Linked DNA regions of Tribolium castaneum. The protein of the gene in region 2 interacts with the protein of the main gene of each other region in a pairwise test. Links are inferred from orthologs where the notes say so. Each region holds a gene or a part of one and is shown on either strand. Other genes may lie near its edges. The genes, in order: Polr2L and RNA polymerase II-associated protein 1.

Evidence for each region.
Region 1: the proteins of RNA polymerase II-associated protein 1 (region 2) and Polr2L interact in binary tests that used the Homo sapiens proteins (3 or more experiments, as listed by UniProt). The link is inferred for Tribolium castaneum from reciprocal best matches to the Homo sapiens genes RPAP1 and POLR2L.

The regions. Positions count from the first base shown.
Region 1 is NC_087394.1:15,049,712-15,052,062, forward strand, and holds Polr2L (RNA polymerase II subunit 10), read right to left. Parts: upstream 799-2,351; coding exon 595-798; downstream 1-594. Other genes in the region: Sumo (small ubiquitin-related modifier 3), read left to right, coding at 1,459-1,476, 1,563-1,682. UniProt on the Homo sapiens protein: DNA-dependent RNA polymerase catalyzes the transcription of DNA into RNA using the four ribonucleoside triphosphates as substrates.
Region 2 is NC_087395.1:23,134,755-23,139,344, reverse strand, and holds the start of RNA polymerase II-associated protein 1, read right to left. Parts: upstream 3,024-4,590; 5' UTR 2,941-3,023; coding exon 2,817-2,940; intron 2,771-2,816; coding exon 2,107-2,770; intron 606-2,106; coding exon 474-605; intron 427-473; coding exon 1-426. Other genes in the region: replication protein A 70 kDa DNA-binding subunit, read left to right, coding at 3,273-3,311, 3,359-3,615, 3,668-4,031, 4,076-4,280, 4,363-4,475, 4,531-4,590. UniProt on the Homo sapiens protein: Forms an interface between the RNA polymerase II enzyme and chaperone/scaffolding protein, suggesting that it is required to connect RNA polymerase II to regulators of protein complex formation.

The DNA.
Region 1 (2,351 bases), on a different chromosome or scaffold from region 2:
ATAGTTTGTGGACTTTAAGTCTATCTATAGAATAATGAAAACGAAAACATGGCAAAATTTCAAGTAACAAAAAAGTTACAGACCGCACCCCTGAGTCACCCTGTATCTTTTAAAAAAATCACCAACAATTATTGTCTTATGGTGTTACAAACACTTAAATTAGCAAATTATACAATAAATAATTTAATATTAATCATATTAATATTATTAATCACTGGAAACAAAACAACAATTAAAATGGTTGCTAAAGAAAACAAATACAAGAATGATAAAAAAATCAAGTTGCTTGGGAAAAGATCTGACTTCATTTCTAAACTTTACTGGACATCCCTTATCACCATATCGACACTTTCTTGACCCTCTAGACATGGTTGAATTAACAAAGATAATGCAATTTTTTTGAATAACTTTATAAAAATAAACAAAAAAGTTACCGTGAACTCGTGAAGTAGGAAAAACTAAATAGGATGTTGCAAAAATGCTGGTTTATGAAAGACAAGGCATAATAGTAAAATTTATTCAAAAACGCGCCTTTTTACATGCCATAAAATTAAACTTACACCTACACTTACTTAACAGACTTACTACTACAGATTACTTCTCTAAAGGAGCATAATTCAATAACTTTTCAATAAGATCGACGTGTCCAAGAAGCATTCTTCTGCAACAGTACCTCTTCAAACCCAAAGCATCCAAAGCATCTCCTTCCGTATATTCAGCTTGCAAAAGCCCAAGATAAGCCTCCCATTTATTTCCAATAACTTTCCCACAAGTAAAACAACGAACCGGTATAATCATCTTGTCTCGACAAAACCTGAAAAAATATAACCTAATTTTTCACTGACACATCAAAAATTAACCAAATTCTGTACCTCACACTCTCGCTTAATCAAAATTTGTTGCGTTGGTATTTAGACTTTAAATTAGATTACTTTCAAAAAGCTTTAACTGCGCTTTTCTAGAAGCTTTTTGATTTCTAATTTCGTGAATTTCTGGGTTCTTCACTTCTGGAATATTGGTGCTCCTGATCAATTGAAGCTTGTGGCCTGCCATCTGTCGACGGCAATAACAAATAAGGATTAATTTCTTGATTAAATTATTAAAAAATCGCAGAAAACATGTGAAAGTTATATTGAAAACAAAGCCTAATTTTTTGTATTAATTTACCGCGTTGTTTCAAGCACGTTTTGTCAACGTGAAGTGGTAAATTTCTACAAATGTTTCAAGCGGAAGTGTGAAGTTTGAACAGCTAAAGCCGACTTTGACTAACCGCGTAGTCACTTCCGGCGAGCAGTTACCGCTACTTTGCAAGCAAGCCGGCCATTATTTGTTAGCGGCAAGCTGCGTGTCTGTTGATAAAACGGTTAAAAGTGCACCAAATTCCACTAAAACCGTTTACATTTGTGCATCAACTTCGGCCCCAGACCCTCCTACAAGCCACAACCAAATTTGCCAAATATGGGTGACGAAAAGAAGGTAAACATGACTTTTCTTTCCTAACCATAAACGAGGTTTTTTTCCCGTAATTTTGAACTGATACTCACGTTTTTGGGACTTTGCAGAGCAATGAAACGGAACATATCAACTTGAAAGTACTGGGACAAGATAATGCTGTCGTCCAGTTCAAGATCAAAAAGCACACCCCTCTCAGGAAGCTGATGGGGGCTTATTGTGAAAGAGCGGTAAGTGTTACACTTTATCTCAGATTCTTTAGTTTATTACTGGGACAAATGAGTAAGAACATGGATTGTGATTCATACTTGTGTTTACTAAAATGTATCAAAAGCCGCATCCTTTCTCCAAGTCTTTAATGTGCCATGATTTGCATTTTTTTCATGTTTGGACGTCTGAAACCGCCACATTTGTTGCAACTCAACTTCTTAAATGTCTAAACCAGGATTTGTTAATGTTTGTTCACTCCTGTGCGTAGTGATTGGTTGTATTCGGAAATAAAATTAACTAGACGCCCTCTGGTGACGACTTTTGAACTATGTCGAAAACAGTAACGAAATTTTCGTAATTCAATATTTAATTTAATTTTTTAATTTAACAATTTTGCGTGTGTAGTGTTAATTACTTACAGTAGAGAGAATCACTTTAAGGTAGTTGGGGCCTTACAATCGGAGCAAAAAGTTAGGCCAAAAGAATATATGGTGCCACAGTGTATAGTATCCACAGTAACCAACCCAAAAATTTTTACTGTGAATGTACTGCCCTGGCCAGTCATAACTCATTTGTGGAATGTGACAACACTGTCGGAGTTTCGATTGAAAATGTCAAATGTGTCAAATAATTACATCACAAAGGAAGAATTATTAGGCTAAAACCATCGATAAACGATGAAAAGCTAC
Region 2 (4,590 bases):
ATGTCCATACAGTAGACTATAGTTTCAACGGACGGTTTTACTGTATTTATAATGTAGCGAATTCGCGTCAAAATTTCAGTCCGCGCCAAACACTTGACCAAGTTAGTTTCGGCCAATTGTTGGTCGTTGACTCGGTCGTCGTCCTCTTCGTTGTCTACGGCCAAGACAGGCTGCACCTGACTTAGCCCAAAACCTAGGAGACAGTCCAAGCAAGTCTCGTCGACTTTGCTGTAAAATAAATTCCTCATGGCTTTAATTGCGGCGTTTAGGACCGCGGGCGTGTTGTCGTCCAGACAGAAACGCAAAACGAAGAAAATCTGCTCAAGGGGCAAGTCGATAACGTCGTCGTACACCCCTGTTGAGTGTAAAGACAGAATGTTGGCAATGGTGTTCAGCGCGATGATTTTTTGTTGGATTACGTTCGACCTACATTTGGGGAATTAATATTTTGGTGTTTTTTTGCACATAAATACCGTGATAATTGAAAGAGTTCCTGTAAAGTGTATCCAGGCCTGCCGGCCTCTTCGCCATGGTGGTACAAAACCCTAGATTTTTCGCTGATTTCTTTTTCGGTGTATGGCAGGACCCAGCCTTCAAAATCAAACCTTTAAACAGCGTTGAAATTGCTCACTTGTTGCAAATGTTTTCATTATTCTGACCAAAGTGGCCCTGACTGTGAGAATTAAGTTGGCAACGCTTAGTCAGTCTTTTAATTTTTGCACATTTTGCGTCCAGAAATACCAAAAATAAGTCAAAAAGTCAGCGAACTAGTTAAAAGACGGTACTATTTATTTTGAGTTTTCATTAAACCACGCCGAAAATATTATTTCTTTATTTTTTTTAACAGATATTAAATTACCTTGCAATTTGTTACATACAGAAAAATCACGACAATAAATCAAAGTTGATTTTGTTTATTTAAAATAAGCCGAAAAAACACAGAACTTGATCGGAAACGGTAGTATTTTTGCCATTTTCAGTCCTTTAGAACTAAGGTTTTACAATTTAAGTGAGGTTTCTCTAATAATAAATATATCTTACGCCGTTTTACAGTCGTAAATGTATTTATTTAGCAAATTTACGTAAAAAACAAGTCACCTTTCTGAAGTAGATGTATTTTTTTTCTGTAAATTTTAATAAAACCCGCTGCAAAATTACTAAATTTTAGATTGTTATGCTTGATTTTTTTACAAATTTTGAGAAAAATGAACCAACAACCCACTAATAAATTTGGTCGAAAATGAGCTTATTTTTATTTTTTGAAACCTTTACGCATGGTTGCGGACTTAACTGTGAGTTTTTTTTTGTAAGATTTCGCAGAAACAACAATTAGGTCAAAAATTACATTATTTTTGCTTTTTCTTAGCGCTTTTAGAACGTTCTGCAGTCAAAAACATGCAATTATTTTGCAATATTTTGTTATAAATAAGCAGAAAACTGTATTTTTCAAGTAGTTTTACTCATTGATATTGTTTTTTTTTTGTTTCACTTTGGTTATCTTGAATTTTGACAAAGTTCTGTTAAAAAAAATCCACAAAATTTGGTCGAAAATTACGTTATTTATACTGTTTTTGTGGACTCTAAGCACCACAAAACAGGCAGGAAAATAATCTTTAATCAAAGATTACATAATTTTTGTCATGTTAATAAATCTGATATTTGTAAACGCAATTACTTCGCAAAATTTCCTTTAAAATACGCCAAAGAATCATAAATTAATCAGAAAATGGTGTTATTTTTTGAGGTAAAAACAATTTTTTTTCGAGAAATTGGCTGAGAATCCACCAAGTTGGATATAAATTCATGTTCATTTCAACAGTTTCGGTCGATTTAGTTTGTTTTTTAACCATAATCATTTATTTTTCAAGATTAAAAAAACGAAAACATTAATAATGGTGTTTTTTTGTCATTTTCAGGCCTTAGAGCACAAAATAAAATAAAAAATTGCATTTTTTTTTTCGTTTTTAAAACAACTTCGCGTAAATTGTCTTGACAATATTACGCCGAAAAGTTTAAGCACGTTTTGGGGCAAAAAAAATCAGTTGTTTTCCAACTGCAACACCAGTCACAGGCCACTTTGATCAGCAGTTAGAACGCATTATAAACCTGGCTTCGAAGCTCTTATTTTTGTCTATTTTCGGCATTTCCACACCCTTCATCCACGCCAATTTCCCCGTCTCCAGCGTCTTGAAATTGAGCCACTTTTCCGCTTGCGGTTGCTTCAAAATCTCGCTCGCAGTTTCAATCTCGTCAACGTCCATATTTTCAGCCGCTTCGTTCTGTTCCTGAATCGTCGGCGTTCGATTCATTCTCGCGTCCTGTTCCCGTCGACGTGACTTCAAAAACGCAATAATCGCAGGGTCCATAGTTGCCATAAGTCGCTCCCTCTCCTCCAAAATCTCCTCCTCGGACATGCCCCTCATCTTCTGGACATTCTCCGCATGGATGGAGTCTTTTTCTGAGCCACTCAAGACAAAACTTTGGCTCGGAAGCGCCACTTCTGGTACTGGCTTAGGGGGGCCTTTGCCCCCTTTCATGCGTTTGAACTGCCGCGCGAAAATACTACCCCCATCGCTCGACGCCTCACAACTCGCGTCGCGACGCTTAGGCTTGGGGAAGCCCCCATTTGTGCTAAAATTTAACAGAGGCAAAGCTGTCTTGTCCGCCAGTTTTTCCACGATTTTTCCCACATTTGTCGCGTCGGGAATTGCCTCGAACGTGTTGGCGATCTGGTCCTGGATGTCGGTGGCGACAGGCGCAGCCGTTTGGTCTAAAAGGCACTATTTCCGGAAAATCAACAAAATGCAAGACCTAACCTCGCTTTTCGCTAATAACGGTCGCAGCCAACTTGATCTTGTTCTCGGACTGCGCCCGGTTGAAGTCTTCCTGCAAGCGGAGCAGGTCTTCCTCCGTCTCGCCAGGTTTAGGTCGCGCATACATTATTAAAAAATCCAAAAAAAAACCGCAAGATTCGAAAATTTCGCTTTGAAAACAACCAACTGGTACTTTAACTTTGCCGGGTTGGCCCCACTGGACGCAAATTTTACCCGAATATGAAATAACCACAAGCGTAAATACCGAGAAAAATTAGAAATACGAGGAAATACATTCACCCCTAAATGTTTGATTTAAATAAGGGGCGATTTTTGCCCAAATTGGAGTGATAGTTTCCGGTTGGCAGCATTGCCGACGCCATTCTTGCGGCAAGTCAAAGTTTGCGAATTTTGTCTTTTAATTATTGTAAAAATTCAGTGATATTAGTGCATTTTGTGATGGCTTCTGCGTACAAATTATCAGAAGGGGCGCTTCAGGTGCATTTCTCGCGGTGATAAGCCTTCGCAACGTGTTTTTGTTTCAGACGATTATGTACGGGGGCGAGGTCATTGACCCTCTTGTTCAAATTTTGGGGACTAAAAAAATGTCTCCAGGGGGTAGCGACAGCAGCTCGCGCTTACGCCTGATGATTTCGGACGGTTTGCACAAAGTAAATATTGCAGTGTTTACTGTGCCAAAGAACGACCAGACTTTGCCCCACGTCTTAGAGCAGGTGTTTACGATTATTAAACTAAAGCGCTATCTTTCCAACGTTATAAAAAACAAGAATAACATAGATGCGTACGTATTGCCACCAATTATTTTGGCAATTTGCATTGTTTTGCTAAAACAGGCGAGTTATTGCGATTTTGGAACTGGAAGTGGTTGCGCGTGGGGAGTTTGTAGGTCAGATAATCGGAAACCCTGTCTCTTTATCCGACTCTGAAACCTTGACGCAATCGAGTGACGTTATCAAGAGAAATGAGTGCATAAATGGCTCATTTTCCTCAAAAACAATCAGTCCCATAGCTAGCTTAAACCCCTTTCACAACAACTGGATAATTAGGGCGAGAGTCGTTAATAAGACGAATGTGAGAAACTGGAGCAATGCCAAGGGGGAGGGTAAGCTTTTCAGCATCGATTTGGTCGACAAAGGGGGCGAAATCAGATGCACCGCTTTCCGGGACCTTGTTGATAAGTTTTTCGATCGCCTTGAGGTAAACCACCCAAGGTTTTCCCCCAATCACGTGCGAAATTCCAGGTCGACAAGGTTTACTACATTAGCAAATGCCAGCTCCAGCCAATCAATCGCCAATTTTGCTCCTTAAAGCACCAGTTTGAAATGTACTTCACCCCGGAAACGATCATCGAGCCGAGTTATGACGACAATGAGATCATCCCACAAATAACGTACAATTTCACCACGATTGATAAAGTAGCGGTCATGGAAGCTGGGACCATTGTTGGTAATTGGGTAAAACCCAGCACTGTGTGCATGCGTGTATTGTTGGTTGCCGACGTTTTAAATTTAGAGAATGAGTATTTTAGACGTGATCGGCGTTTGCAAGACAATTTCGGAACTGCAGAGTTTTGTGGCGAAATCAACCAATCGCGAGATGCAGAAAAGACAGCTCGTGTTAGTCGATCAGACCAAAACCGCGGTAATTTTTTTTGTTTTTTTTGGGTGTTTTTTTTTAAATTCGTGTTTTTGGGCAGATTTCTCTGAATTTGTGGGGCTCACAGGCAGAGTCGTTCGCAGTCACCGGTAATCCGGTG